Saccharomyces cerevisiae S288C: one gene and its partners. Changing the gene in region 4 together with the main gene of any one other region gives a genetic interaction. Each region holds a gene or a part of one and is shown on either strand. Other genes may lie near its edges. The genes, in order: SHH3, SEN2, YNL194C and POG1.

Region 1 (8,011 bases), on a different chromosome or scaffold from region 4:
TTCGACTTATTTTTTTTTTATTATTCTTCGCTCTTTGGCAGCATACGCAATTTGAATTTGCAGTTTTTGACTCTTTTTTCCTTAGCGGAACGAACAATATTAATCATGCCAACTAAGTCATTGCAGAAGTCAACTTATCATTTATAAAGAAGATCCTACCCTACAATGTGTGTACCCTGATGTGCCCAGAAATGAATTGACTCCTCTCATAACTTGTTAATATTCGGATGTGCATATCACGTTCGGATCTATGTATATAAATGTACGCTCGTTTTAACCTTTAGTGTAGTACCTAAAATCTTTCTTACCAGCAACTAATAGCCCTTGAAGTAGTTTTGCTAGCTTGGACATCAAAGCACATATCACCATCAAATATGGCCAATTACACAAAAACCGCAATCCTATCCGTCTATGACAAGACAGGTCTACTTGATTTAGCCAGAGGCCTCATCGAGAAGAACGTTCGTATTCTCGCCTCCGGTGGTACTGCTCGTATGATTCGTGACGCTGGTTTTCCAATCGAAGACGTTTCTGCTATCACACATGCCCCAGAAATGTTGGGAGGTAGAGTGAAAACTTTACATCCTGCCGTTCATGGTGGTATCCTTGCTAGGGACATCGATAGCGATGAGAAAGACTTGAAGGAACAGCACATTGAAAAAGTCGATTATGTCGTTTGTAACCTATACCCATTCAAAGAAACTGTTGCTAAGGTGGGTGTGACTATTCCAGAAGCAGTAGAAGAAATTGATATTGGTGGTGTTACTCTATTAAGAGCAGCTGCTAAGAACCATGCTAGAGTCACTATTTTATCTGATCCAAAGGACTACTCCGAATTTTTAAGTGAATTATCCAGTAATGGTGAAATCTCTCAAGATTTGAGAAACAGATTGGCATTAAAGGCTTTCGAACACACTGCCGATTATGATGCTGCAATTTCAGATTTCTTCAGGAAACAATACTCTGAAGGTCAAGCTCAAATTACTCTACGTTATGGTGCCAATCCACACCAAAAGCCGGCTCAAGCTTACGTCAGTCAACAAGACAGTTTACCTTTCAAAGTCCTATGTGGTTCACCAGGTTACATTAATTTGTTGGATGCTCTAAATTCCTGGCCCCTGGTTAAGGAATTATCCGCCTCGTTGAATTTACCAGCAGCAGCATCGTTCAAGCATGTATCACCAGCTGGTGCCGCTGTGGGTATCCCATTGTCTGATGTTGAAAAGCAAGTTTATTTTGTTGCCGACATTGAAAACTTATCTCCCCTGGCATGTGCCTATGCTAGGGCCCGTGGTGCTGATAGAATGTCTTCCTTTGGTGATTGGATTGCTCTTTCCAACATAGTTGATGTTCCAACAGCTAAGATCATATCTAGAGAAGTTTCTGATGGTGTTATTGCCCCAGGTTATGAGCCTGAGGCGTTGGCCATTCTATCCAAGAAGAAGGGAGGTAAGTACTGCATATTACAAATTGATCCAAACTATGTTCCAGAAGCTGTCGAAAGAAGACAAGTATACGGTGTGACTTTGGAACAAAAGAGAAACGATGCCATAATCAATCAATCAACTTTCAAAGAAATTGTTTCTCAAAATAAAAATCTCACTGAACAAGCCATAATTGATTTAACGGTTGCCACCATTGCTATTAAATATACTCAATCTAATTCCGTATGTTATGCTAGAAATGGTATGGTTGTCGGATTGGGTGCAGGTCAACAATCTAGAATCCATTGTACAAGATTAGCTGGTGATAAGGCTGATAATTGGTGGTTCAGACAACACCCTAGAGTTTTGGAGATTAAATGGGCTAAAGGCGTCAAGAGACCAGAAAAATCTAATGCTATCGATTTATTCGTAACCGGCCAAATTCCAACAGAAGAACCAGAATTGTCTGAATACCAATCGAAGTTCGAGGAGATTCCAAAACCATTTACTCCAGAAGAAAGAAAGGAATGGTTGAGTAAATTAACCAACGTTTCTTTGTCATCGGATGCATTTTTCCCATTCCCAGACAATGTTTACAGAGCAGTTAAATCCGGTGTCAAATACATTGCCGCTCCATCTGGTTCTGTCATGGACAAGGTTGTATTTTCAGCTGCCGATTCATTCGATTTGGTTTACGTAGAGAACCCAATCCGTTTGTTCCACCATTAGATGGCATGAGTTCAGAGTCAATATGCCATAAATACAGAAATGACGGCAAATCGATGTATAGTTTATTCTTTCCTCCTCTAATGATATAATCGCCACTGACACTTTTATATATATACTAATGATACGATATGTTATAAGTACAATTTTAATTCGAACATTTCCCAAAGAAAAAAAACTTGATTTATTATTATGATGTTTATATGTGCAACACAGAAAGCTCTAGCTATAGTAATTAATGCTAGAGCTCCCAAACGAAAAACCTCTTTTAGATACCATGCAAAAGTTCTTAAACTATTATTTACTATCTGAAACAGGATGAACCTTACAGTACCCATGAACTTTACTCCTACAACATACGCAAGTGCTGAACCCACGTAAACCCAAAGAAATTCTGCAATCCTCGCAAATGGCAAAACATCGGCAGGGCCATAATACTGTATTTCTTTCATTGACTTTGCATACCGCGCAAGATAGATCAAAATCACTTTCTGTACCAAAAGTCTCATCTACTTCACTTAACTTTGTATCTAAGATAGACGCCCTTGTCAAAGTTTTATCTGACAGTAATTTTTGTTGAAGGATACGGCTAGTTGACATGATCCAATTATAATCAGTATGAACTTCATTATCTTCGGAAGAAAATAAATCCAGTAGGGCATCCCGAGTTTCGTTGAAAATCAGTGAATCTTCTTCCAAGTTTTCTTCATCAGAATCCCCCAGTGACTCAACTTCAGAAGGCTCGTAATCTTCAGAATACTCATCATCTGATGTGTTCAATAGTTCAAGTTCAATATCTTCTTTGTGGCCGGCACTATTATTGAGAGAGTTCGTTTTAGTTATCTTTAACATTTTTGATGGGTCGTTGTCGGGGATGTCCTCGTCCTTGTTATCTCTGAAGCCAAAGAATACTTGGCCTACAAGCTTCTTCATGATCCATATTATAGATTTTGGAAACATTAAAAAAAATCTTTGCTTTAATATTGATGAATTTTTCTTTGGGAAGCTGATGGAAGTGTTCTCTTTATACGGTTTAGAAAGTTCATTTAAATAACCGCTAATAAAAAATTTCTCATTAACATTATCCGGGATGTTAATAGCAGGAAATTCTCTTCGTATACCCTTTTCCATTAGTTCAGTTCCTGAGCATAATAATAGTGCGAATTTAGTGGCCATAGCAGAAAAATCTTCTTCTCCCGTGTAATTTAAGTATTTTTTCCAATTTCTACTGAGAGGGTAAAACTGTAAAAGTTCGCAAGAATTACGTGATTTTCCAAATGGATCCCATCTAATTAAGCATGATAATTTAAAAATCAGTAATGATAAGCAAATAATAGACACTGAAAACAGTTTTGGAAAGTGCCTAAATTTCACCGAAAATGGAAGGCTTTTCCAGCCGCCCTGCTTAACTCTTATCCCTAAGTAACAAATATGACAGAGGTTCATAATAGTACTAAAAAGTAGACGATAATTTCTAAGCCTGAAAATCTCCACCAAATGGATCAATATCCTGCTCAAAATAGCCATAGAACAGTCTATAATGTAATCAGGAGAATCTAAAAATTTAGTATTATTATTAGTCATTGTATAAAACTGAATCGAAAGTTCAAACAATGAATAGTCAGTGCCCTCCAAAGGGCTGGAATTCCGCATGATGGTAAATATGGTTTCGACACAATAAGAGTAAGCGAAAGCGTAGAATATATTCAGTAAAAATTTTTCTTGGGCAAAAGCAGGGTCGCCTAATATTTTGAAATCCTTACCCAAGGTCAGCGGACCTAAGGATACCATTGCTAATACAACTACTGCTGATACATGGAAAACATTACTCAACCATAACGGTAAAGTACGTCTGGAACCGTTGTTAAGGACGGCGTAAAATACAACGAACCGGTTCAGGACAATGGCGATTACAAAGCAAAATATGGCGTACGGGCTGAAAAAAAACCCTATTGTATCAAAAACAGACCTTAGAGTTGGGGGAATTTCTTCAGATTTAACGGTTTGCTCGTACTGCAAGTTCACAGCCCCAATAAAGGATAATCCAAGTCTATAAGGAAAGTTGATAACATTTGCGAAAGTGGAGTTACCTGAGATTACGGCTTGTGATGTTTGATTCAAATAGCTAAATGAATTTATGAACACATTTTCTGAAGAAGTGGAAGAGTTCATATTCTTAGCATAGTTTCTTTGTAAAAAGAAGAAAAAAACCCAGATAAAATTAAGAAAAATACCCCAAAGTGCAAATTGTCTATAAAATATAAAAGTAAGCAGTGATTATCTTCTTGAGTTAAAATTGTTGTGTGGTGAAAGAGTAATTTTAGTACTTCCTTCTATTTTTCTGTTCAAAACAATATAGTTTTCGTAATTGTGTTTTATTGTATTTTCCAATGTTTTTCATATTGCTTACTCAACTGACTTCAAAGTTTGATTCGTAGCTTCTCAATATTTCAACATAAAGGGGCGCCCTCAAAGGAATACGCGAGAAAAAAATAATGGTTGCTAAGAGATTCGAACTCTTGCATCTTACGATACCTGAGTATTCCCACAGTTAACTGCGGTCAAGATATTTCTTGAATCAGGCGCCTTAGACCGCTCGGCCAAACAACCACTTATCTGTTGAAAAGGTGTGACTATAGCAACTATAAGTTGTTATGAGTTGAATAGAATTTAAACTCATTATGGGATAAGCTGCTCGTCTATGCATTGGTAAAAGCACCTCGTTAATATGTAAAGGTCAAAAGGTCATATCAGCGAATAATAAATTTGGATCTTCCTATACTATATAAGAGAGGTTCACTGAACGCAGTCCGATCGGTTTATTATTTGAGATATAGGTGAATTTTGAGATAATTGTTGGGATTCCATTGTTGATAAAAGATTATAATATTAGGTAAACAGAATATACTAAAAGTTCTCCACGAGGACATAGGAATCCTCAAAATGGAATGTATATTTTTACATACTAATATTACGATTATCCCTCTTTCTATTTTATATGTTTCATTATCCTATCATATTATCAATCTTTGCATTTCAGCTTCTTCTAACTTTGATGACAGCTTCTCATAATTTATATCATCATCTAACACCGTCTATGATAATATATTGATAATATAACTACTAGTTGATAGACGGTAGTGGATTTTTATTCCAACATTATTAATCGTGACTAATATAACAAGTTCTCTGGTGGTTACCATATATTTAATGTAAAGACTCGCATGACACATATATATGACTACCACATAAATGTTTAATTTGAAAAAACTTCAGCTCTACTAAGGTACCTGTTGAAAATATCGAAATCCACAAGGACAATAATTTTGCTTGGTAATATTATTATTTTTCTTCCATTGTTTATGTTGATAATTAGAGGTTAAAAATTAGTATTAATGAAGAAGTGAGTACTGATCTTCTTATACTAAATAAGAGAGGTATATAAAACACACGCCGATTGGTCATATTAATTATGACCAATATAATAGTGATTCCGGTAGTTACTATACATTGATGTGACGACTCATATTCCTCATATATGTACCTACCATAACATGTTCAACTAATAGGTCTTTAACACAGCTTCAGTATTGTCTGAGCTTCTCGTTTAACATTCCTTCTGCAATAGGCGCAATCACACTTAAACGTATACGAGTTGTACATTAATATACGATGTAAGCATTAGATTGTTACCATAGCAACTCATGTCACTATTAATTACTCTCGTTCCAACAGTTTATTATATTATCAACCCTGTTTTTCATCTTCCATGGAATTTGGTAACTGCTCCTCACCGATTTATGTCATCTTGCTATTATATGGTAATATACCAAATGTGAAGGTATGCAATTGATATTTTTAGATTTTACCTTTTGGCAAAAAATCAGCACATTAGCAATAAGAAACCGTTTTATCGTTTTGTTCATTTTAATGACTTCACGGAAATTACTAGTTATTAATAGTATTTTACTCGTGAAAGATAATAATCCTTCCAATGATGATTACACTCAAGATACCCTTAAGATTTTTTGGCGTCCATAGAAAACTTCACTATTTATAGAAAATCCTGAGTGCTTCTTTCTTTGTTTATATACTCTGTCATCCACTATTCTACGTGAATATTGTGCGAATATTTTGATAATTGTGAACTCCATTGTTGATCAAAGGCTATAATGTTGTGTATACAGAATATAATAGAAGTTCCTCTCGAAGATATAAGAGTCCTCATAATGGAATCGGTATTTCTACATAATATCACTACTTTTTTTTTGTCCTTCCGCTTTATATGTTTCGTTATCCTATCACATTATCAAATGACTTTGTGCCACTGTGTTTTGACAAAATTACTGTAATATAATCAATAGTATTTACATGTTTGTACCAGAAGTACTTGCATCGCATCCAGTTCTCATGCAATATAGTTGTATACCATGTCGTTGAAAGGAACCAGAGTAAACACTTCTACCAGTATTTCTTTACGGTTCGGATCAAAACCATCACTCATTCGGTCATTCTTACCGTACGATAAACCAAATTACAAGGAAAAGTATCCCTAATTAGAGATCACTGCATCCGTAATAGTTTTTTTTCTATTTTGGACTTTTGTAAAAAAGGGATTAGGGATACGTTGCTCATAAAAAAATTGACGAAGATTTTAGATAATGGCAAATAAAAATGAAATAGTATCAATATACCGAAAAATTAATCACACTCAATGCGACTGTGATAGCTGATAAGTGGAGCTCAGAAATATTCAGAAGCGTAAGAATAATGAAAGCAACCATTCAAAGAGTAACATCTGTATTTGGAGTTCCCCGAGCATCTGTATTCGTGCCAAGAATCAGCACACCATTTATTTTGCATAATTATATCTCTAATGGCAGAATGGACCTTTTTTCCAAAGAATTCCACAATGGCCGCGTATCCAAATCTGATCTTTGGTCAAGCAACAAGGAAGAGGAGCTCTTAGTATCTCAAAGGAAAAAAAGACCGATCTCTCCTCATTTAACTGTTTACGAACCTGAAATGAGCTGGTATCTTTCCTCTTTACATCGTATATCTGGCGTTTTACTGGCTCTTGGATTCTATGCTTTCACAATTACTTTGGGTGTGACGACAATAATGGGAATGGATACGACTTTTCAGGATCTAAACAAGTGGTATCACGAAAAGATGCCTAAGTGGTCCCAATGGGTGGCCAAAGGCTCTGCAGCATATCTGTTTGCATTCCATTTTGGTAACGGTATAAGGCATCTCATCTGGGATATGGGCTACGAATTGACCAACCGTGGGGTTATAAAAACCGGATCAATCGTTTTAGCCGGCACACTCGTCTTAGGAACGTATTTACTGGCTCAGTAAATGAAATGTAAGGAATGTACTTAGTGTTTTTTGCTACATAGCTTTTATGATACTCTTTATAATGTTATATTCAATAAATTTGATTCAACGTAGAAGGACCCGCGAAAGCAGAAGAGGTTACCCGACCTTGACAGGCGCGTCAAAAGTAAATGTAAACAATGAAGTCTTCAAAATAACTTACGTAGGGACTTTGCTATAGATGAAAGAAGTAACGAGGGAAGAGCAAGTGTAAAGGGAAGGAACGCAAGAGCCATGTCACAAAAGGATAACCTACTCGACAATCCGGTTGAATTTTTAAAAGAGGTCAGAGAAAGTTTTGATATTCAGCAAGATGTTGATGCCATGAAAAGAATCCGACACGATCTTGATGTTATAAAAGAGGAAAGCGAAGCAAGAATTAGTAAAGAGCATTCAAAGGTTTCTGAGTCGAACAAGAAATTGAATGCGGAAAGAATAAATGTTGCTAAATTGGAGGGAGACTTAGAATATACTAACGAAGA
Region 2 (8,456 bases), on a different chromosome or scaffold from region 4:
GGCATTGACATAGTTAGAATAATAAAAACTGTCGTACAATGAAGAATGCCTCAGTAAGAAAAGGTAGTAATCCGGTTGGATGTTTAACGTCAATGTATCAGGGGTCTTTACTGAGTTTCTACTGCTTGGTGTGAGACGCTTCACTTCATCTTGCAATAAGGGGTATAATCGATTGTAAACTTGAGCATATGCTATATCTAACGAGGTCGTACCAAGTATATTCAACCACAGGTTTGAAAGATTTGTTTCTCCGATAGCAGACAATAATGAATAGATTTGTGCAGATATCGAGTTAACCACTGTTGTGCCTTGAGAATAGTATTCCTCCAAAACACCTTCATATTCATGGATTTGCTTCTTTCGTTGCTTTCTTTTTGAGAGATCATTCGGTCCTATTGAAGAATTACCTCTTTTATTAGATATTGTCTCATCTTCGTCTTCTTCGTCCTCGTCTGTGACTTCATCGGCATCAGTTGCCTCATCGTCACCCCCATTATTATCGTTCTCGTCACCTGAGAGCTCATCGTCACCACTCTCCTCGTCCAGTTCAAGCAATTTATAGTATGCTTCTTTTTGTTCGCCTAATGTGTCATCCACCGTACCGTCGTCAAAACATTGGATGATTTGTGATCCAAATATATTGTCGAGATTCCACGGTCTATGAGCATCCAACACGTAGATGTCTCTCCTGAAACTTTGTTCCCCCGACTTTTCATCTGTATCGATAACATACTCTTGGGGATCGATTTCTAAGAAAGCCTCCAGATCAATAACGCCTCCAAACCCTACTAATAGCAGACTATTTATATTGTCATCCAATTGAGAATAGTGGCGTCGTAATTCAGAGTACCCAAATATCGGTACTATTTGAGATTGTACCAATTGTTTTTTGAATAATAGTGACAACATCTTCGTCGCACACAGCGCATCGATGTTAAGACAAGAAACGAAAATGACCAATTGACATGATGAATGAGACGATGAATTCCTTAAGATTTTGTTGTAGGCTTCGCTAAACTGGCTGATTCCATAATACATGTGCGAGAGTATATTCTTGTTATTATGTGCCTTCTCTCTAGTGTTTATTGCTACACTTTTATTGCTCTATAGTGCGTTGTATAAAGTAGCCACAATGGATTGTTGGCATTACTACAGCTTCATTATTTACTGAAATTTCTTAAAACGCGTTAGATGATATGTTGAAAAAAAAATACGCGTCGTGAATGAAACTTATTAGGTTTTACGACTAGTTAAAGCAAGAGAGAGAAGATCGAATTGACTAAATGTCTTCACTTTGAATTTATTCTAGTAGGATTCGCATGGCTTTTTCATAATAAAAATCTCGTTTATTTATGCTTTTGGTTGGTTTTCCTTTGATAAATGCGGCCCTTGCTTTGTTTGTGGTTGCAACGAGTTCGTCAAATGATAAATTGACGCTTAACACAGACGCATGGGAACCACGTAATTGAATTAATGTTTTCTTCTCGAAACAATTGCAATGTGACTTTCTTGTTAGGCAATGTGAGATGAAAGATGGCCTTTACCTTTGCAGATGTTTGGGTGTGGCTCTGAGCTGTCCTTTATAATTATAGAGATAATTTTGATGAAAGCTCAGAAGACCTTTAATGACGAAAAATAGGCATGGTTTGCCAGGCAAAAAACGACCAAATTTTACTGTAGTATGAGTCAAAGTCGCTGGAGTATCGTTCTCATCTTTGCATTGTTTATTTTTGGCAGCACTGGAGTGAATGCCTTCTTCAATTTCGGTCATCATCAGCAACAGCAACAGCAACAGCAACAATCATATGAAGATCAAGTTTTAAATAACCCTTGTGATGGGTATTTGTGTCCGGACACCCTAACGTGCGTTGCACAGCAGAAAGACTGTCCTTGTCCCTTCCCTAAATCTCAGTTGAAATGTGTCCTTCCTGATAATAAATTTGTTTGCATATCCAAACCAGCCACACACAATGAAAAGTTTAGAGCAATATATGATGACCCTGTCAAGGGCCCCAAAGCAAAGAACAAGGGGTTTAGGGATTGTGGATGGGTATCAGATGCTTACAAAAACCATTGAAATCTGTATAAAAAATACATACACATACATATATACATACGAAGGATTTATCTTCTCATTGATATTCTAGTCTCTATTTCTTCCGGGAACCCATCTCTTATACAATACTTCACCAACTTGAAAACTATTGAACAATTTAGTAAAGTTGTTTGATTTCCATAGTGCTATCGCCTCCTGTTCCGAGATTAGTCTCTCCACGTAGCATAACACAAACGTCTTCTTTGCGCCGCCCACAACACGGGCTATGCTAGAATACCACGTATAATCTTTAGAGACGTCGTGGTCAAGACCCATAACACAAAATTCAGCGTGTTGAAATGGTGGCCCTCTCTTATATAATAAATAATCGCAGCCGAATTTTATACCAGATCTTACGCACCAACCGTGTGATCTGTAGTGATGGTATATAACGTATGATCTGACAAAGGAGTGAATATCTTTATATTTGGCATCGAATTGAAACAGTTTCCCTGCCAGGCACGCGGGAGATATGTCAAGAACAGGAAGTGCAAAAGTTAAAAACATAGCTTCCACTGGCATTAGTTCTAGTGACTCTAGTGGCAAAAGATCACCGTTCTCATCAAGAAGATTGTTGTCTTCATCTCTTAAATTTGATTCGGAAATGTCTTGCTGTTGTGCAACGATGCCCACGTCTTCTGTTTGTTTTAGTTTAAATTTTCTTAATGATTCTCGTTGTTTCTCAAGGAGGATGTTTTCCTCATCGATATGACCACCTTTTTTTCTTAATTCTAGTAATTCTCTTTCTAACTTCGCACGTTCTTTCTTGAACTCTAATCTTTGTAATCTCCTCTGTTGTGTGACCTTCTCTAAAGTCATCTCCGTTTCAGTATTACTCTTTGTTCCTCCCCGATTGTGGAGGGGAGTATCATTGAGACCCAGTCTGGCCTCTGTTCTAGCTTTCCATGTAGGCTCACTCCTGCTAAATTGACCAGTGCCAAAAAATCCATTATTCCAAAGATATAGCATTTGCTTGTCATCTTGAACCGTGATGTGAAGAGTGGTATCTCCTATAAAATCTACATGTACTTTATCGTTCAGTGCGTTCGTACTCTTGTAATAGCGGTATGCCCAATATAGCCAAGATAACGGATTATGAAGGATTAACTCTGGAAGGTCATCTACGGGGTGAATTGGAAGAGGATACTTGTAACGCTTCTGATTGACCCTCCCTTTAGACATGCTCCTTCTTGAGTCCTTCGTACTTATTGTCTTTTCAGCGTCGTGTTACAATGAAACGTTTTAGCATATTGAATTTCGATGGAAGTTCAAATGTTTTATGCACCGAAATGAAATACTAGAGCAAAGAGATGTTAGTGAAAGCACCAGCTAATATAGCTCTTTCAAATTTACGTGAAAAAGTTATGTGTGGCAATATAAATCTATAGCAAGAGTGGCTTCTATAAAACATTTTTGACAAGAAATAAAATTCAGATACCGTTGTAGTCTTGAGAAATCATTGTGCTCACATCGATTAACTTCGAGCAACATAAATCATGCTATCATCATTAAAATAAAGTGGAAGTATTAAGAACAGATATAATAGCACGAGAAAAAACTCGTTCAACTAAGTCTAGACACACCTCCTGGTGTTATTTAGTCCGTTCTCTTAACAACCAAAGCCTACGAGCTCTCAAACAGCTCTTTTGTTTTAACTTCCTATAGAACTGAATGGGAAACTTGCATCTTGAAGAAAATTTTTCTCTTTAAATATCTGACTGAAGTATTGATCCCTTCAAAAAAAAAAAAAAAGAGAGTTGGTTACCCATATGGGAATAATATTTCTTAGGGCTAATTGACAAAGGATTGCTAACAGAAAATGCAAAGGACTAATAACTTGAATCATTTTTATATCAGGTTTATATAGGTATACGTTCAGTCTAATTAATAATTTATAGTTTACAGTAGTTTTTTACAGTAGTTTTTTTTTTTTTTTTTCAGTTCCATGATTTTTTTGTTCCTTTGATTCGTGTAGTAAACCTCCTCTTCTTGGTTTTCACGATATACTTAGCTGGATGCCAGGTCTGTAAAGTATTGACGCAAAATCAGTGAAAGCATTTCGGGTAGTTCGCTTATATCGTGTACAACAACATAAAATTCAAAAGGAAATGTGTCCAAGTATTTGGTAATCTTTAATTGCGGATTGCCATACTGATCTGGAATGTAGTTCACTTGGCTCATGTCTAAGATGGATTCATTAGAAGTAATACCATCTATGATGACAAAAACCAGCATAATTTTGTTTTCTCTAGCACGGCGGACCAGTTTTTGTATTGTTTCATGGTCTTCGCAAATACCATCAGAGATTACAATTTCTAGTTGCCATTGGTCATTATGTACCATAGCGCGAGCACGTTCAAAAATTTTAGTAGATTCAGCCACAAGTTTCTTAACGTCTGTTTTAGTTTCTTGGAAACCAAACCATTGAAAAGCTCTTGCGCCAGATTCGTTACTAAATTGTTGGTCAAATGAGTGAACTTCTTTAATATTTTCACCGAATTTGACAATAGATAACCCTCCAGCCTCTAGCTGAGTTAACGTCTTGGAGACCAAGCATAAACTATCAAAAGCGAGTTTAACGCATTTAGATTCGCTCATAGACTTAGAATCATCAAGCGCAATCATTATTTGATACTGACGTTTGCTTGGTTTAGTTCTTCTCAACCAGATTTTATCTTTACGGAATTGTGAGGCAATATATGGAATGATCCGTTTCATATTCAGTCTCTTACCTGTTTTGTAATCACCCTTCAGCTTTGTAGCCAAGGTAGGTTCCAAGATTAGTCTTAATTGTTCTCCAAGACGTGATACTAAATCGGCGGTCGAAATTTCACTTTTATGCCACAATTCACGGGATTCTTCTAACGATCTTTCCGGTGTCAAACTAGCACTTGCATCAGGTGGATTATCCTCAATGTTTTCAATTAAAGATTGTATTTCACTGTCATCCTCTTGATCAGCCGAGAAGTGTTCATTTGAAAGTTCGTTCTCAAAATCTTCCTCACTCTTTCTTTTACCGATGAATCCTGACTTTTTGCTGTCAACGTCATTGTTAGCGTCATGCGCGTCGATATCAGATAGCATCTCTTCTTCATCAATATCCATTTTTTCATCATCGGCGTCTTCTACTAACTCTTTCTGGTCCACTTCTTGCTCCTCCCTATCATCATCAATGGCCATGTCTTCATCAATGGTTTGTAATTGATCCTGTGTTGCAGAACCTAAAGCTTGCGTATCTGTTTCAGTATTTGCACCCTCAACATGTTCAAATTCATCGGGACGTTCATTGTTTTTTTCCAAATTTTCGTCCTCTTCGCCATTAGTTTGTGCTTCTTTTATATCTTGACGACGTCTATGATATTCTTTCATGCTATCACCTAGTTGCTTTAAAGCAGCCGTAGCCTCTTCGCGTGATTCTTCATTATTCTTTGTCACATCTTCTTGATCTTCTTCATAGGTATTCTGAGTCGTTCCTGAACCTCCAACATCGTCCTGTTCTTGTGTGTCCGTAGCATCAGCACCAGCACCTTTGGATCCAGAATCTTGTTGAACGGCAGCTTCTTGATCGATGTCTTCAGTATCAGCCTTTTCCTCAACGCCATCAAGACCTTCTGTATTCTGCTCACCTCCTTTCTCTTTGTTTTCTTCCATAGCAGCATCTTGCTTTAACTCTTCTTCATCAGACATGGCTTGCTCTTCTGGGCCATTTTCTTCGTCTTCCTTTCCCTCATCATTAGTCATATCCACATCCTCTTCAGCACCTTCTTCTTCGTCAAGAGCTGTTTCTGTCTCGCCGGCATCTTCCTCAGGACCAGGTTCGTCGTTTTCATTATCACTTTCGATACCGGATTCTTGTTTGACTTCTTCGTCTTCGTTTCCAACCTCTTCCTTGTTTAGGTCATCAGGCATTCCATCTGACATATCAACATCTTCGTCTGATTCTTCATGCTCTGAATCTAAATTCATATCTTCAGGAAGGTCTAGGGTTTCGATTTCAGGAACATTAGCCTCCAAATCCTCGCCTTCTTCATCTTTAACTTCGTCCTCCTGTTCACCAACGTCGTTTTCCTCTTCTGCATTTTCATCGTTTTCAATTTCCTCATCGCCATCTTCAGGTGCATTTGGGTCCTCATCCCCTCCTTCCTTGTTATCCCGCTGTTGTTCGTCATTTTCAGCAGCTTGTACATCTTCCTCTTGATTTTTTCCATCTAAATTCTGGTCTGTATCTTTTTCTTTTGAATTATCACTTGCCTTATCATCCCACATTTTATCATCAATAGCGTTGGGGTCATCTTCATTCAGGTCATCAATTTCTTCATCTAATTCTTCTTCTTCGCTATCAGTATCTTCATCATCATTTTCTTCACCATTAGACAAATCTTCCAATTCACCAGCCATATCGCCCTCCATCTCAACTGCATCATCTTCATTCTCGTCATCCCTCTCATCTTTATCTTGTTGTTCTTTGTTTTCGTTTTGTGCATCCTCAGTCAAATCTTCGTCTTGTTCGACGTCTTTATTGTTATTTTGAGCACCTTCACCGTCTCCCAAGCCTGTACCCTCTTGCAAGTTTTTGTCGTCAACTTCTTCAGATGGTGGCTGCGGAGAACAGAACCCATTTTTGGCTAAGCTATGCAATATCGTCGATAGAATGTACATACCACGACTTGTGTTCGTGTAGTAGATTCTAGATCTTTCAAGAACCACGGTCATTGCGTTGTAATAACGTGTGATTACCGGTAGTGTAAAGGATATAACTGATTTAACGTAAATTGATTCAGTAGTGGTAAAATCAAAGTCCTTCAACAAGGATAATGCTGTCTCTATATTTTTAGAAACAACACTGGATCGTAATAGTTTAACGTTTACCATAACTTTCTTGAAGCTAGCTGATAACCAGTTATCATCAGTTTCGGATATAGATTCAATTCCATCTCCAATTACCTTCTGGAAAGATAATATAATAGATGTGAAAGTACGGCGGAAAGCCTGTTCAACATCTTCCACCGAAGGGCCTCTCTTCTGTTCCTTTTTAATAGGACCCCCTTTATTTGCTTTGATCCACTCTATAATGATATCAAAAACGAAAGCGTTCCCTGTCTCCTTTGCATTTTCAAGCTTCTTCAATAATTCATTAATGAATAACTCAAATCTAGAATATGACTCGATAAATGAAGAATCAAAAATTCGACTGGAATTGAAGTGTACGAAAAACGAAGATAAGGTCGATTTTGCATCTAACAAGATCTTTTGTTGTTCTGAAGTTGCTGAGTATTTCGAAATAACAGACAAGGTCTGTGCGGCATAGTCTAACAAAGAAGGCAGCCACTTTTCAAACAATCTGACATTATCTACATTCGCTTTTAATGAAGAATGAACAATATCGCCCTTTAAGCAAGTAAAGTGTTCTAGGTCTAACATCATACCATTAATCTTACAGTAATCATTCGTGAACTCTGATAGAGGGTGACGAACTGTAATCAGGGAAAACATCAAACTCTGTGCGAGTGCCATACCTCTTTCTATAGCAGCAACAGGGATATCATCACTTGGATTCGATGCAGCGCTTCTCAGCTTGGGTAAAAGGTCAAGGATTTTGAAAAAGAATGCGTCTGACGAATTTAAATATTCATTATTGAAAGGGGCAATGTTTGCCAAAATAGTTGTTGTAGAAGATTGAACTTTTTGAATGTCTTCCCTAAAATTGACTTTTAAACCGATTCTTCTCAATTCTTTCAATGCATCACCTAAAAGTTTACTTTTTTGAGTCTTCAAGTATGCCAACCTCTTTTTGTTCTCCTTTGTATATACATTAGGGGTTTCCTTACGTAACCTTTCAGCTTCAGCATAAAAGTCCGATGCTAAATCTGCGAAGTTAGGGAATTCCTGTGATGATATCTTTTCCAAGTAGGAGTCCATGTTACTTGCTACCGTGTCAATATTCCTTAATGGCGCAGCTCTCATACTCCAAGTAGAAATTTCTTTCACCAAATTTTTCGAAGCCTCTAAGTTGGGGTCTTCGTAAAAATGTTGTTTTAAAGTAGGGAGTTTTAGTTTATTTTCGTTGGAATACAAAAGACCGGCCTCAATAATGGTTTTCGCATCCCCATTTAGCAAATCACGGTATTTTCTGACAATTTTGTAAAGGTTGTTATGAGACTTACGAGAACTTTGTTTCAGGGCATCAACGTTAACATCTTTCCAACTGGCTAAAAGAATTATATCGTCAATTTCTTTTTCCAGACTCTTTTTTCCATTCGTAATCCGCTCATCAATTAATGGTTTGAACTGATAATAGAATTTTATAGTATTATGGAGCAAGCCCGCTATCTTCGAGCTCCTCAATCCAATTAGTTGAATG
Region 3 (8,245 bases), on a different chromosome or scaffold from region 4:
AAAGTTCTTGTTGTTGCAGAAGCGGTATAGGAGTTCGCAAAATGGTAGTTAAGAAAAAAGATGGCGGGTTTAATTCATAGTACAATTCAAATGTTAGACAGAAAAAGAAAAAATTTCTGTTATATGCACGTTGTAATGTAATAGTAAAAAGATAATTTAACGTAATTGAAGAGATAAAGTATTATCGATGTTATTCTTATTATTAGTCGGTTTAGAAAATATTATTATAACAAATAATAAAAGAAAAAGAAAAAATGCGACAGAAAATATTATTCTTATTATAGTGGGGGAAAGATGAAAAGCAATGCATATAATGTGATACATGCAAGGAAATCAGGTTTTTGCGGAACCATTTTTTTAGTTTTTTATATGACCAACATTAGAATTGTAACTGGAAAGCATATTTACATTAGGATTTGGGTTACCACTGCCTCCTCTTCTGCTGTTTGGGCCCCTAACACCCAGTGGGTTTTTTGAAAAGCTTAATCTGATACCTCCCTTACTGCTCACAGTGGAGCGAGGTAACTGTCTACCATACAATTCAGCTAACGCTCTGGTTGCAAAACTGACATCATCGAATTCAACGAAGCACATCGGTCCGTGACTATGACCATTAGATGTGGTATTCTTATTCCTGAATGATAGTCTTCTGAAGCCTTCTTGACCAGAAAATAGCTGTCTTAGTTCTTGCTCAGTAGCGTCGGAGGGTAAATTCCCTACATAAAGGGTATTACAAGGTGGATTTTGATCAGCAGGGTTGGCAGGAGGTGGAATTCTGGCTAGTAGTGACAAATCAGCCTGAGAAATCGAGGCAGATCCAGTAATATTTGAGGATAATGAGGTAGTAGAGTTATTCTTGTGTGAATTTCTACTTGAACTTAATCTTGCGGGCGGTACTTTTTGAGGAGTGTTACTTTGATTCACAGGATACATATGCTCTGGTTGGGGTTGTTGCATAAATCTGTTCTGTTTTTGAGGTGTAATGTTCATATCAGAGGTGTTTACCATATTTGAAATGTGCTGCGATTGAGAAGACATTAAACCGTATGGAGGCAATGAATTTGAAGAGGTTAGGGAAGTGTTAATCGTGTTACCAATTTGCATCATTGGTTGTTGCGAGCTGGCAGAGAGTGCCTGGTTAGCACCATTATTGCTGGCTCCATTGTTGGAGCTGGCGTTTGCATTGGCACTGGTGTTGCTATTCGTAGGTGCAATGGCTGTCGATGCTGCAGAGGGTAAAAAGAACGAAGAACCATGTTGGGATGCAGAAGTATTTCCCCATTCTAAAGTTGGCGTAGAAGGTTGGGGAGTGCTCATGTAACCGTTGATGCTGGAAGGTATACCGCTTGTGCCCCATATCTTTTCATTAATTTCAGTGTTATCTCTCAAAAGGAAAGATTTGCCAATATCAGATGTTTGAATTGTTGATTCCACAGACAAATCTTGATGTGAATGGTTAGAATGTAACCCAATAACCTGGCCTTGAGAAGATAACGGTATTGAAGAATTCACTTGTTGTTGATTACATTGTTGTGGTGAATGTTTTTGCGTAGAGTGTTGTTGTGGCTGTTGTGGCTGTTGCTGCTGCTGTTGAGATTGCTGTTGGCTTAAAGGAGAATCATTGGAAAATGGATCGCTGAATGAAAACCTGGATCTTTGTGATAACAGACTTGGCCTTTTCATTCCCGAGTTCGATTTATTCAATCTTGAGGTGTCATTGAAAATGGCAGATGATGGGAATGAAACCAAGTTTTTTGTTGTGTCATCTATTATTTCAACGGTTGTTTTATTGGGAAAACTGGGTCCAAAGAGTTCATTTTTCGAATTCAAAATAACGGCATAATTAATAGCTAGATTCAATAACTCAAATCTGGCAATGATAAAAATATCATTCTCGTCTTCTAATGAGGCAGAAGTGATGCTTGATGAAGAGTTTTTTTTCTGTAATTCTATACTTTTCACACCTTCAGCAAGAGCGAAGATTGCATAGCATTCTCTGAGAGTAATATCCTTGGCTACATTTGACAATTTTAGGCTGTAGCTCCCCTTAATGTTGTTATCGTGATTGCTAATGTTGCTGCTTGCAATGTCTTGGGGCATACTTCCAAGGGCAAGTGTGTTTAGCATAGAAGATATCGCTAAGGGTGAGTTTGTGTCATTCAAATACAACTCCCCACTTGCGCTTCCTCTACCCGACGCTTCGTGGGGATGAGAAGTAGTGTTCAGATTCAAACTGGAACGATGACTGGGAGAAATGTTGTGTGTGTTGGTGGTACTAGACACAACGTTGTCGCTACTGGACGCAAATGACCCTGTTTGGTCAAAATAAACTGAACTTTGCATGCTAAGAGATACAGGTTTTTCCCTCTGAAATATTGATCGATAAAGGCTGCTCTAGGTAAGTGACGCTTACAAATATTTGCAACTCACAGAAAAGTGATGACAAAGACTTTTAACTTGAAATGATATGATCAGTTGAGAAAAAGCTGGTGAAGCAAATGAAAAATACGGGAAGAAAACAGGAACAGAAGGTTTTCAAAGTACACGACTTATTTTCTCTTTAATGCTAATTGATTGAATAAAGAGAAGACAGAAAGGAAACTGACACGTAAAATATGTGGACGGAATAAACAACTGTGCGTGAGCAGCGTTTCAAAAGCCTTTTCTTTTTGGAGGTCTGTGCTTGTTTAAAGAAGGCAATTCAATCAGGTGGTTATACTTGTTTATTCCGGCTTACTTGGTCGTGTTTGTTTTTTCTTTTGACCTCTCATGTCCGAAAAGGTCCAAAACAACGAGAAAAAAAAGCAGCAATCAGTTACCCCATTTAACGCGGGTAACAATAACGATTGTTCTAAATAGAGCAGATATCCAATAGTTGAGAACATGAAGAAGGATGGCGATAGAATCAGTGCGAAGCAGTCTAAAGAAGTTCCTTTCCCTTTCCTTTCCTTTTATTTTGCTAATAGTATTTGATATAAAGATGAAATACTATAAGAAGTTTATAAATTTTTTAAATTAGAAAAGCTAAATAGCAGCTTGATCGCAACAAGTGGGGAATTCTGACCAGCGCGACGCTTGTTGCATGGTTATTCCTGCATCTGGGACTGGTTTTTCATCCATACACAATCTTTCAAGCCCGATGGTGACATTTTTGACCTTGTTTGAGTATTCCATCTCTTGCTGCAGTAGCTTTTTACCTCTCTCATGCAGACCATTAGATGATGCAGATATGTTAAGATCTTCGGTAATTAGCGCTACTGAATTGAAGGAGGTTATGTCGTTGTAGTTGATATTATATTTGGGATCAGGAACTGATGAGACCGTAGTCGCATTACTGGTCGTGCTGCAGTTTGACCAGCGTCGTTCCCAGGAGGTGAACTCCATGTCTTGAAGGACAAACTGACTATCTTTCGAGACGTCGAGGACGTTATCATTGAAAAGTTCCGTGAGTTGGACATTAAGAGGACTAGATGTTTGAATAGCCTGATCTATCATGATCTTGGACACGGTTTGATGGTCTATGTCAAAATCTAGTCCAGTCTGTGGTTTAGGTTTACCATTTTCAGCTGCTGTGTTCTGATTAATGGCTTCTGAATTCGGTTCTTTGAAACGAAATTCTTTTGCCAGTGATAATTTTTTCTGTTCTTTTAGCCTTTTGTCTTCTCTTTTGTAGTTTTCTTTTTCTACTTCTTTTGGCTTCTCTCTATCTTTTCTACTTGTATTTTTTTTTTTGTTTTTAGCCATTTTATCTAAGAACTTTTTCCTTTCTTCACCAAAAGCTCTCATTTTATCCTTTTCCCTCTTAGTATCTATTTGATCAACATTTCCACCTTTTGATTTATTTTTCTTTACTTGTCGATCTTTTGGTAGTTTCACTTCGTACTTTTTGTAACCGATGATTTGATCTACTTTATTCATCATAACAGTAATATATTATGTTTTTGATTTTTACTATACTGATTAAGGTAGAAAATGGGACGATCTTGCTTTTTGTGTCCTTTCATTGAAGCACTGTTATTTATACGGTCAACTGCAGCCGGGCATAATTTCGGCGGCTATTCATATTGTCATCCCCGCACTCCTTCTTTGACAGCACGCAAGCACATGGAGGCTGATAATGCCCTCCCATATTGTAATAGAATATATTTATGCAATAAAGAGAACGCAATAGCTGCATTTAACCAATAAAAAATTCGTTATGACAATAATATGTAGACAAGGATATAAAAGTATAAGGTTGGTTATAAATAAAAACTGTAGGAAAAACAAAAACTACTTATGCAAGACCTTATTCTCAGGGTGCGAAATACTATGATCAGTAGCGTTTAGAACGTTAGCCGAAGGATTAGTCTCATCCATAATTTGGTTTCTTGGGACATTGTGCCGATCACCCACACCGTAGGCGTAGGTTTCCTTTTCCTCAGTTTCCTGATTGAATGATGGAATACTTGCGGGATATCCCTGCACTTTAGTGGTGTAAGAAGAAGCAGAGACGCCGCTATTTTCTTCTCTCATCATTTTCTCATTGTACCTGTCTGAGGAAGCCGTTTGGGGGTCCATCATGTCTTGGTTGTTATTATCGGCACGGCGAGAAGAAACGCTGTTCCACGCGTCGATGTGATGAGGTTGACTTTGAGGTGAACCTGCACCGGGAACATGTTGGTCGATAGGCCCATTGAAGTGCGGATCAGAGGTGTCTTGACAACCAATCGGCACGTTCTTGCTGTTCATTCTTGCCTCGGTCATTTTACTACTATCAAAATTGGCTAGCGTAGACCTAGCGTTTTTGTTATAGTCACTGACCACTCTATTTGTGACTTTGCCACATCCCGGGATACCGATGCTACCGGCACCGGTGTTTAAAGTAGGGCCTGGGCATTCAGTTGGTAAAATTCCAGAGCGCTGTTCGTGAGACGAAGAGTGTCCGTCACGATGAGGATATTTGAGGTCGCTTGCCCTGCCACACCCTGGAACGCTGTACGTTTTATCCTTTGCCTGGTTCATATTGAGAGCATCATCACTTGCATATGCTTGAGCAGATTGGCCCAAACCCAGCATCCTGTCATAAGATTTGTCAATATGGTAGCCGAAGCCGTGCTGTGTAGCAGAAGACTCTTGGTTTGTGTCTAATTCATTGCTGTCGAAATAGTGAAAAGAAAAGAAAAAGAGTTAGTAAGATGTGTATGATACATTAAAAGGAAGTTAAAATACGATTTCTTTTTATTAGATGGTATCATTACATTGTTTGACGTATAGTATTAGTATTATTAGAGGTTGAGAATTAAAGATATTATATTTAGGGAAACATAAAAGATTAGTGGAATATCGGTGCAAAATATTAGTAATAAATAAAATTGGTATCAACAGAGAATAGGAGAAGGCTAATCGCTGCAATTAGGTTTGTTATTATTTGTAATCCTAGCTTTAATAATAAGGGAAAAAAAAGCCTCCTTTGCACCCTATGATACAACAGGAACATTCTGTTCAGTATAGACGCGTTCCTCTTGAACCCGGTCTGGTTCATCGCCTGCGCTAGTCACAGTTCTCTTTTTCGTTCTCAATTTCTTAAAGAACCTATGATTCTGGTGGGATTGAGATTGTTGGACCTCAGTTACAGGCACCGAGGAAGGTATTCCTCCATTTGTTGGAACTGGAGTTGGAGTTTGTGAGTCCACTGTCTTGGTAGAAGCGAAACTGCGGTCATAGATGTACTCGTTTCTTTTATGAGTAGCCACCATGATAGTACAGCAAATGGCGTTTACAATTAACAAAAATACTGTGGTCCAAATAAGCCCAAAATTCTTGGGACCTAGTCTAGCATCACGATTCTCATGGTGAAACGCCTTTACTGCCTTAGCGTAACATCCTGTGTACAGACAAGCGGATAGGGTTATGAAGAAAAGCGTGATCCAGCTCATTGCAGTTGCCAGAGCGGCGGTACGTCTATTGTATCTGATTAAACTGGCAATAACCGAAACTAACGTGATTAACAAAAAGAAAAGCCCGATTAGAAGCATTGCCCAGCCCACTCTTGAAAGATAATAGTAGGCATTTCTGTTGTTTAAAAAAGTTGAGGGCATGAGGGGGGAACTGCCAAAGTTGTCCCTTGGTGAAAACGGCTGAGCTGCCATCTTAGAAGAGCAGTTGACTGCTATTCCGCGGCTTTCCCAGCCGCACCAGTTATAATTGTACCATCTGGTTACGGAGGGCGCCGAGTTAAAGCCCGAAGTGGATGCCTGAAACCAATAAAAATTCTTCAACACTCCTGTGGTCCTGCCACCTGCTAGTATCAGAAAAAAAGTCAACAATGTAGCCCCTAGTAGAAAGAAAAGGTTAATAAAGTACACAAACTTTTTGTAGGACATTGATTATTAGAAACGGAAATATATGAGGTTATACTTAATGCTTATCGTGATCGCAATACAAGTAATTGTTTATGGTTGTTTGAAAACCCTAGAAAAGTGGCTAATTTCGGATAAGAATTACAGATAGGATCTCTAACATAATATAAGTTGTTAGGGTATTTAGCTAATGTTTTTATATCGAAAGCAGGGGATAACAGCGGAGACAGAAAACAGGGAATAGTGATCTCATCTTTCCATCCGTTCATCCCACTTTTACGTCCTTGTAAATAGTACAAACTGCGGGTAGTAATGCAAGATTTGATGATATACAGGGTGCTTTTGCATTGCAACCCCCTCCCTTAAAAGACGCTGGGGAGCAATTTTGTTCTAGAAGTCCCCTCTTTGTCGTCTTCCCAAATCCGACTTGTGCGGCTGTGCGGCTGTGCACTTCAGGGGGTGTCCTTGCCGTAATTTCGAGGAGTCTTTGTAAGTGATTAATTTTCTCAAAAATTCAACGTATGAAAAGGTGATAGTTTCGGCATCTGCGATATTCTTTTGGACCAGTTAGTGATGACGAAGGCCCTTAAGATTATGTTGGGAGCCAAATTTTCGTAGTTGCATACGTAATTTTGAATTTGATTTGCTTTTTTTTCTTTTTTGCCTTGGCTTTCCGTTGATGCGGATTCTTGAGAGTTCTAAAAGTTTATGTATACAAACACCGCATTGAATGCTTCGCCTCTTAAGCAGACAACTAGAGTATTGTAAACCAGGTAATGGGACCTCCGAAAAATTTCAAGCATTTCAGTAAGAGTAATAAACACAAAAAGGAGCAGAAAGCCCTGATTACTCAAGAAGATTTCTACCTGGCAGCGATCGACTGTGAAGAACAAGCAGACCGTTGGTTGCTATCGGACATAAAGAAATGTTTGCGGTTCTATCTAAAGGCTCTAGAGCACTACGAAAATGGTCTGACTGCTTTAGATTCCACGCAGGAAGGGAAATATAATATCTATTATAATGAAACAAGGCTTTTTTTGCAAATTTATACAGATTATCTGGCCAATAACGGCTACATTAATATCTTGCAATACGTGAAAATGGATGATATGCCTGATCTTTCCAATTTGGTGTTATCTCTGCCACAGATTATCCAACGGTTTGAAATTGTTTATGAGACTTTCCCAGAACAGAGAACTTGGGATCTTCAATTCAATCTATTGACATGTTATTTGACTCTCATAGAGTCCCTAGACGACACCGTTTCGCCCACCGTTGCAATGGAAGGTGCAGACATTTTAACTTTGACAAACAAGTATATTGAAATCTTTCAACACCTGGTTAATTATCTGTTACAAGAACTACAAAACTGGAGTGAAAATGCAGAACAAGATTCCGATGACACAGATACGGAATTGCAAAGAGATACTTTGGATGAAGACGCGATGCAAGTTACCAGGGACGGAAGTGGTATCCGAACCAATGGACCTGTACAACCTCCAGCAGAAGTTATGGACGTTTCTGAACAAGTGACTCCGTCTTCACTTACCGAAGTACTCGCCAACTCTTTAAAGTTCAACCATGCTTTGATGGAATTGGTTATTGAGTCGAAAATATCTATTGAAAAAAATGTCGAAACGAAAATCTTGAATCCTATTCAGATTAATTTCTTGGAAGATACAACCAATAAATTCTATTTACAACTACGCGACATTATAGACTCCATTTCCGCCGCCATTCCATTAGATTTGAAGGAAATCGGTTTAGCCAAGACTTTAATTGAAGGTTTGAACATCATTAGCTCCGGAACCTTCGAGTCATTGCAAGATTTTGTTCTGCAAACCGTCTCCTTTACCGATCTGCTTGATGAAAAAGATGTACAGGGTAAGATTGATCTTTCGTTG
Region 4 (8,315 bases):
CTACGTGATTCATTAAATTCTTATCCAAACTTGGAAGAAATTGTTTGGTGCCAGGAAGAGCCATTGAACATGGGTTCGTGGGCATACACAGAACCACGCTTACACACAACATTAAAAGAAACGGATAAATATAAGGATTTCAAGGTCAGATACTGTGGTAGAAACCCAAGTGGTGCTGTTGCTGCCGGTAGCAAATCACTACATTTGGCCGAAGAAGATGCCTTTTTGAAAGATGTTTTCCAACAATCCTAAAGATGAATTCAAATATGAAAAACATGAAAATACAGCCATATAAACACGTAATATTTTTACCTTAATGTTTATGGACAGCCTTTTTACTTGAAGAATGATCTAACAAATATTTTTTTTGATACATTCACATTTTTTTTTTGTTCATGATGTTAGCATCTGCTTAGTCTTTTTAAAATTATTTAATTTAACGTTTTATTTATGTGAACCTTTTTTTATTAGTTGTATTTACTATTTATTCAAGAATCATTCTTTACTTTATATTGATATCGTTTTTTTCCCCCTACTTCCTCCTCTGGTGTATTCACAGCTAGGTGCTTCTCTTGTCCTCATCCGGTGGAGAAAAAAAGTGAAAAATAAGTCAATGGAAAGGGGGAAGGGGGTAGGTAAATAGAGTGAATAAGTTTTATTCATCATGCCCAACTTCTATTAATATATACTCAATTCAAATATTGATCAGGATTTCAAAGAGTATGTCGGAGTTACAGTCACAACCTAAAAAGATTGCCGTTGTTACAGGCGCCTCAGGTGGTATTGGATATGAGGTAACGAAGGAATTAGCCAGAAATGGCTATTTGGTTTATGCATGTGCAAGAAGACTAGAACCAATGGCACAATTGGCCATCCAATTTGGTAACGATAGTATCAAACCATATAAGTTGGATATTTCCAAGCCAGAAGAAATTGTAACATTTTCTGGTTTTTTGCGAGCTAATTTACCTGATGGTAAATTAGATTTATTGTACAACAATGCCGGTCAGAGTTGTACATTCCCTGCATTGGATGCAACAGATGCTGCAGTAGAACAATGCTTTAAGGTCAATGTGTTTGGTCATATCAACATGTGCCGTGAATTGTCGGAGTTCCTTATTAAAGCGAAAGGAACCATTGTCTTCACTGGTTCCTTGGCAGGAGTTGTGTCATTCCCCTTTGGTAGCATTTATTCCGCTTCTAAAGCTGCTATCCACCAATATGCTCGTGGGTTACATCTAGAGATGAAGCCCTTCAACGTGAGAGTGATTAACGCTATTACTGGCGGTGTGGCTACTGATATCGCTGATAAAAGGCCCTTGCCTGAAACCTCAATATACAACTTCCCTGAAGGTAGGGAAGCTTTTAATTCAAGAAAAACCATGGCTAAGGACAATAAGCCCATGCCAGCTGATGCGTACGCAAAGCAACTGGTTAAAGATATCTTGAGCACTAGTGACCCTGTAGATGTTTATAGAGGAACGTTCGCCAACATCATGCGTTTTGTCATGATATTTGTTCCTTACTGGCTATTGGAAAAAGGACTTTCCAAAAAATTTAAATTGGACAAAGTTAATAATGCTTTGAAGTCGAAACAGAAGAATAAGGACGATTAGTGTTTCACCATCGTCAATAGCTACCTATATTTATATACAAGATTCCGTATAGTTTGTACACCACGTCAGGACATCAATAGCTAATAATCGTTCTAATGCTAATGTTCAACTGCTCTTTAAGTATTGTTTACGTCTCGTCGTACCAGTATGCCAAATTCCTGTCACTTCACTCATTCTCTTTGCTCTTACCGTTTGAAACGCGCTGGGACGGAATTCGCTCATTTCGCATCGTGCTTTGTTGTTTTTTTTTTTTCAAAATTGCCATTGTTTATTTATAAACTACATGAAATTATTCTGTATTTATCTTCGCATTCCCTCTCTTACTTCAAAAGTGAGAACAGCATATTCAAATATATATATCTACTCAGTTGAATAAGACACTATAGCAAGACCATTTGAACTGAAAGAAACAGTTTCTTTGCTCCCCTCTCGAATTCCAACTATTTACAGTCCTTCCTTTATAAAAATTAACTAGCGAGCAAGAAAACATTTGTTTAGTGCTACCCAACTACTTACATTCCTTTAAAAACCACAATATTTAAGTTAACCTGAGCTTTATTTTTAGTAAGTTATTTACCACAATTTTTCTCATACACCTTTACAATCCGTATTGCCATGAATACCAAGGCTTGCTCAGCTTCTGCAGCAGTTCAACCCTTTCCAATACCGCCAATGCGTCCTCAAAACGTTAGTTTAGTCGTGCTCAACCGCTATTTTTGGTTTTATCTTCGTTTCTTTCTCCTGAACGACATTCGTCACGAAAATTGCGGCGGAAAATTTCCTGATGCGGACACTTTTTCCCGATCCGGACATGCCTTTTTTTGGCGTTTCGCGTCAGTCAATAGAAGTTTCAGATCTACATTAGGAAGAACCAGAAAATAGCCATTAATGCTTTCAGCATAGCACAGCATAGCAGCTGTGTATATCTTAAATAAGATGTAGACTGGTTTGCATTTGGAAAGGTTTTGTGTAAGAAAAGCAATACTTGAGGTAAAACAAGAGAAAAAAAAACACTTTACTAACTAATATCCAATCCTTTATTTTTTTGCAGAAATGAAATTCTCAACTGCCGTTACTACGTTGATTAGTTCTGGTGCCATCGTGTCTGCTTTACCACACGTGGATGTTCACCAAGAAGATGCCCACCAACATAAGAGGGCCGTTGCGTACAAATACGTTTACGAAACTGTTGTTGTCGATTCTGATGGCCACACTGTAACTCCTGCTGCTTCAGAAGTCGCTACTGCTGCTACCTCTGCTATCATTACAACATCTGTGTTGGCTCCAACCTCCTCCGCAGCCGCTGCGGATAGCTCCGCTTCCATTGCTGTTTCATCTGCTGCCTTAGCCAAGAATGAGAAAATCTCTGATGCCGCTGCATCTGCCACTGCCTCAACATCTCAAGGGGCATCCTCCTCCTCCTCCTCCTCCTCGGCAACTTCTACCCTAGAAAGCAGCTCTGTTTCTTCATCTAGTGAAGAAGCTGCTCCAACATCTACTGTCGTGTCAACTTCTTCCGCAACCCAATCTAGTGCTTCTTCTGCCACTAAATCTAGTACTTCTTCCACTTCACCATCTACTTCTACTTCTACTTCCACTTCTTCTACTTCCTCTTCCTCTTCCTCCTCCTCCTCCTCTTCTTCTTCTTCTTCTGGCAGTGGTAGTATCTACGGTGATTTGGCCGACTTTTCAGGCCCAAGTGAGAAATTCCAAGACGGCACTATTCCATGTGACAAATTCCCATCTGGTCAAGGTGTCATTTCTATTGACTGGATTGGCGAGGGTGGATGGTCCGGTGTGGAAAACACCGACACTTCCACTGGCGGTTCATGCAAGGAGGGGTCCTACTGTTCCTACTCCTGCCAACCAGGTATGTCTAAGACCCAATGGCCATCCGATCAACCATCTGACGGTAGATCTGTCGGGGGTTTGTTGTGTAAAAATGGTTATTTGTACCGTTCTAACACTGACGCGGATTACTTATGTGAATGGGGTGTCGAGGCTGCCTATGTTGTTTCTAAACTAAGCAAGGGTGTCGCCATTTGCAGAACCGACTACCCGGGCACTGAAAACATGGTTATCCCAACCTATGTTGAAGGGGGTAGCTCTTTGCCATTGACCGTTGTTGACCAAGATACTTACTTTACTTGGGAAGGCAAAAAGACATCTGCTCAATACTACGTTAATAACGCCGGCGTCTCAGTTGAAGATGGGTGTATCTGGGGTACTTCTGGATCTGGTATTGGTAACTGGGCACCATTAAACTTTGGTGCTGGCTCCACTGGTGGAGTGACATACTTATCATTGATTCCTAACCCAAACAACAGCGACGCATTGAACTACAACGTCAAGATAGTTGCTGCTGATGATTCATCCAATGTCATCGGTGAATGTGTTTACGAAAATGGTGAGTTCTCTGGCGGTGCTGACGGGTGTACCGTCTCTGTTACTTCCGGTAAAGCTCATTTCGTCTTATACAATTAAGCTACGTGACTACTACTTTTCCTTTTTTTTTTCTTTTTTCGAACACATCTCACCCCCTATACCTCACACAATCACTATGGTCCCCTTTTCTTTTTACCGATATTTATACTGTCCACCTTTTTCTTTTCGTTAATGGCCTCAATGTTTCTGTACCATTATCCAAGTGAACTTGTTAGACGACCAAATATAGCCAAGATTCATTACGATTATCTTTAACTAGCAAGTAGTATTCTTGGATAGAGAGATTTTCAAAGACGGAACAATTTTAAATAGATTTACATAAGAAAACACATACTGTCCGATACCCATAAGAAATTTAAGAACTCTTTTCATCTTCAGCTTTCCGGCCTCCTTTTACTGTAGCCTGTTCCTAGACAGCTAAAAATAGTACATATGCAGCTCTGCAATAGTCTCAAAGGGGATATTGTGTAGGTTTACGAAATCATCACATTTCCGAATCAGGACATGAAGGCACAACTTTCCGCACGTAGTGTTTTCAGCCCCCAGCGCCTGTCGGCGCGAAGAGGATCTGCGGAGATGAGCTTTGCCCCGCCATTACCCGTAAAATATTACTGTTTTGGGCAATTGTGGATCAAAAAGGGAAAATGCGGATGGTGAAAAAAATTTTTGGAAATTTACTGCTTCAGATGGGGGAACTTTGTAAGTTCTTCCTTTTTTTTCGTAGAGGTTGGAAAATTCAGAGTGCTAAGAAATTAAAAGGTATGCACTGCCTATTCTCATAAAAGCAAAAGTGCACAAAAATAATAAGGTGTGAAGCAATAGTAGAAAAGACACTGGGAACCCAAGGTATCTTATTTTAACAGATAAGTAAAACTAAGATCAAATCGCGTACTGATATCACTTAAGGTTCGCGTATTTTAAAGGCTACGCAGAAGAGGAAATAAATTGCGTGCAATCCCTGCGCTTAACTCATACAAAAAGGCGCAAAACATTTCAAGAGTCCCACGATTAATTGCAGAAATTGAAAAAAAATAAGTAAAGACGAAAATCAAAGTGGATGCCATATTATGAAGCAGGAGCCACATAGACAATCCGAAGAAAAAGAGAAGCCGAAAGGACCAATGGCTGTTGAACGAGAGCAGCATACCTCATTATCTTCTGGTACAACCGTGACAGCTAGTACAGGAGACGAGAGTACCAACAGTAGACCAGTGGAATCATCGCAAACAGAAAAGTCTCTATCGCTTCGAATAAGAATATTAAAACAACTTGGGTTTGACGATATTCAAGAACTAAATGCATGCGACACTGGCCTAGTGGAGCAATTTTTAAACGTACGATTGATAAACGACACAAAAGAACTAGAAAAGATACGCGAGTCAAATCTTGCGAAACTAAACCAGATTATTGATAAATGTATGGAAAGTGATAAAATAAGTGATTCGACATTAAACAAGATTCTTGATATGTCCATGAATAGAGATACAAATAATGATAACAACAATCATCTTACGATACCGTCTCCGATAACGACAAAGAAACGCAAGATAAACGCCTCCGAACTTGCAAGTCCACGAGGCCATAGAAGATATAGATCTGATATACCTACAGTGTCAGAAGTTGAGACAGGGGTCGGATACCCTCAAATACACCAGCAACCAGGCGCATATACTTTACCTATGCCTGCAAATCAGTGGATGAGCAACCCGTATATGCAACCTCCGCAACCACAAGTGCAACAGATAATGCCGCAGTATTTATATCCACCAGGGATGGGACCACAAGCTCAGCTTCCTACAATGAGCTCAAACTCGGAGTCCCAGACACCAGTGATGAGCTCACAGTTTCTTTCCTTGAACCAGCATGGCCTTTACCAACAAAATATAGGTGCTCATCCGGTAATGAGTATGGGCCCACAGGCAAATATATACGGGCAGCAGCACCAGCTGCAACCTGGTCAGGAACGAGACCAGTCAAGAAAAAGTTTTAGTCATAGAAGGTCACAAAGTGCCAATATTTCCATGGCAAATTTTAGGTCGCCCATGCGAAATCCCCAGCCGGCTTCGTCCCAAAGGCCCGTCAATTTTCTCATTCATACACCAAAACATCCTCCTCCCACATGACGTGCAGTAATTTTCATTTTTATCACCTAATTTCTAAAACTATATCCCTTCCTAACCTTCATTCGATGCATCCGTCCACCTTACTTCAGTTCAAAAAAAAATATATATCCATATATATGCTACAGTGTTATTATTACGATTTCTTTGCCTTTACTCCTTATCTCATTTCAATCATGAATAAACAGGATATTGATAATATATGCTGTCATTTTGGATTCAGTCTGCTTAACTGTCTTGTCCACCCCCGGTGTTCTTACCCGTCTGAGCGGTCGTAAGACGGAGGTAATAATTTTTCAGCATCCTGACCTCCCCCCCAAATCTGTGCCTTTCACCACATTTTTCTCGAGAAAATGTGTCTTGGCTCAGATGATGTCGTATGAGCTACTGGACTTTTTTTTGTTGGCCCTGATGAAAATAGTAATGGCGGTTACAGAACAGATAAACGGCGTCACCATCTTTTCCTAGATAAAGAAGCAATCTCTAGATAATGGGGTATATAAATATACATTGTAAAAACGGCAAGTCAGTTGCTGGTCATTTTAGTAGAAACTCTGCTCTCAAACTTGAGTACTGCAACGATGGCAGGAGCAACATCAAGTATAATTCGGGAAAATGATTTTGAGGACGAGCTTGCGGAGAGTATGCAGTCATATAATAGAGAAACTGCAGACAAATTGGCTTTGACTAGGACCGAGAGTGTAAAGCCAGAACCGGAGATAACCGCTCCGCCTCACTCACGCTTTTCCCGTTCTTTCAAGACAGTTTTAATAGCTCAGTGCGCTTTCACTGGGTTTTTCTCCACAATAGCAGGTGCCATCTACTATCCAGTTCTGAGCGTTATAGAAAGAAAATTCGATATTGACGAGGAATTGGTGAATGTCACTGTTGTAGTATATTTTGTATTTCAGGGTCTTGCCCCCACATTCATGGGCGGGTTTGCCGATTCACTGGGCAGGAGACCGGTGGTGCTTGTCGCAATCGTCATTTATTTTGGTGCCTGCATCGGTCTTGCTTGTGCTCAAACGTATGCTCAGATCATTGTGCTAAGATGTCTACAAGCCGCCGGTATTTCACCCGTGATTGCGATTAACAGCGGAATAATGGGAGATGTTACTACTAGAGCCGAGCGCGGCGGGTACGTTGGATATGTTGCTGGATTTCAAGTTCTAGGTTCTGCGTTCGGAGCCCTTATCGGTGCCGGATTATCATCTAGATGGGGATGGAGAGCCATCTTTTGGTTCTTAGCAATTGGATCTGGCATTTGCTTCCTAGCCTCGTTTTTAATTTTGCCAGAAACAAAGAGGAACATATCCGGGAATGGTTCTGTCACCCCAAAATCATACTTAAATAGAGCTCCCATTCTTGTTTTGCCAACAGTAAGAAAATCATTGCATTTGGATAATCCAGATTACGAAACATTGGAACTGCCCACGCAACTAAATCTACTGGCGCCCTTCAAGATTTTGAAAGCTTATGAAATTTGTATACTTATGCTAGTCGCTGGATTACAATTTGCCATGTATACTACGCACCTTACGGCGTTATCCACAGCTTTGAGTAAACAATATCACTTGACTGTTGCAAAGGTAGGATTATGCTACCTTCCCTCCGGTATCTGCACATTATGTAGTATTGTCATTGCTGGAAGATATTTGAATTGGAATTACAGGCGCAGATTAAAATATTACCAAAATTGGTTGGGCAAGAAGAGATCAAAGCTTTTAGAAGAACACGACAACGACCTTAATTTGGTGCAACGTATCATAGAAAATGATCCCAAATACACCTTTAATATCTTCAAGGCGAGGTTGCAACCCGCATTTGTTACCTTGCTTTTAAGCAGTAGCGGATTTTGTGCGTACGGATGGTGCATTACTGTCAAAGCCCCTTTAGCGGCCGTTCTTTGCATGAGTGGATTTGCGTCGCTGTTTTCCAATTGCATTTTGACTTTTTCAACAACTCTAATAGTTGATCTTTTTCCCACGAAGACATCTACGGCTACGGGATGTTTAAACCTTTTCAGATGCATTCTATCTGCTGTGTTTATAGCTGCATTGAGTAAAATGGTAGAAAAAATGAAATTCGGAGGTGTTTTTACATTTTTGGGGGCTTTAACCTCCTCGTCATCGAT

The links.
Region 1: mutations in POG1 (region 4) and SHH3 together harm fitness more than expected from each alone (negative genetic interaction), as found in Saccharomyces cerevisiae (one large-scale study listed by BioGRID).
Region 2: mutations in POG1 (region 4) and SEN2 together harm fitness more than expected from each alone (negative genetic interaction), as found in Saccharomyces cerevisiae (one large-scale study listed by BioGRID).
Region 3: mutations in POG1 (region 4) and YNL194C together harm fitness more than expected from each alone (negative genetic interaction), as found in Saccharomyces cerevisiae (one large-scale study listed by BioGRID).

What each region holds. Positions count from the first base shown.
Region 1 is NC_001145.3:501,644-509,654, reverse strand, and holds SHH3 (protein SHH3), read left to right. Parts: upstream 1-6,920; coding exon 6,921-7,511; downstream 7,512-8,011. Other genes in the region: bifunctional phosphoribosylaminoimidazolecarboxamide formyltransferase/IMP cyclohydrolase ADE17, read left to right, coding at 375-2,153; putative ubiquitin-protein ligase ASI1, read right to left, coding at 2,448-4,322; kinetochore-associated Ndc80 complex subunit SPC24, read left to right, coding at 7,764-8,011. UniProt on the Saccharomyces cerevisiae protein: Homolog of SDH3, but seems not to be a stoichiometric subunit of either the succinate dehydrogenase (SDH) complex or the mitochondrial inner membrane translocase TIM22 complex.
Region 2 is NC_001144.5:344,904-353,359, forward strand, and holds SEN2 (tRNA splicing endonuclease subunit SEN2), read right to left. Parts: upstream 3,278-8,456; coding exon 2,144-3,277; downstream 1-2,143. Other genes in the region: DNA replication initiation factor CDC45, read right to left, coding at 1-1,038; LCL2 (Lcl2p), read left to right, coding at 1,682-2,077; REA1 (AAA family ATPase midasin), read right to left, coding at 4,103-8,456. UniProt on the Saccharomyces cerevisiae protein: Constitutes one of the two catalytic subunit of the tRNA-splicing endonuclease complex, a complex responsible for identification and cleavage of the splice sites in pre-tRNA. It cleaves pre-tRNA at the 5'- and 3'-splice sites to release the intron.
Region 3 is NC_001146.8:267,251-275,495, forward strand, and holds YNL194C (uncharacterized protein), read right to left. Parts: upstream 6,366-8,245; coding exon 5,460-6,365; downstream 1-5,459. Other genes in the region: mRNA-binding protein WHI3, read right to left, coding at 358-2,343; SLZ1 (Slz1p), read right to left, coding at 3,025-3,921; YNL195C (uncharacterized protein), read right to left, coding at 4,273-5,058; YNL193W (uncharacterized protein), read left to right, coding at 7,118-8,245. UniProt on the Saccharomyces cerevisiae protein: Involved in sporulation and affects the sphingolipid composition of the plasma membrane.
Region 4 is NC_001141.2:125,482-133,796, forward strand, and holds POG1 (Pog1p), read left to right. Parts: upstream 1-5,128; coding exon 5,129-6,184; downstream 6,185-8,315. Other genes in the region: alpha-ketoglutarate dehydrogenase KGD1, read left to right, coding at 1-252; AYR1 (acylglycerone-phosphate reductase), read left to right, coding at 723-1,616; putative glucosidase SIM1, read left to right, coding at 2,670-4,100; QDR2 (cation transporter), read left to right, coding at 6,763-8,315. UniProt on the Saccharomyces cerevisiae protein: Transcriptional activator which promotes cell cycle recovery with CLN2, after pheromone induced G1 arrest, probably inhibiting the ability of STE20 to activate the pheromone response pathway.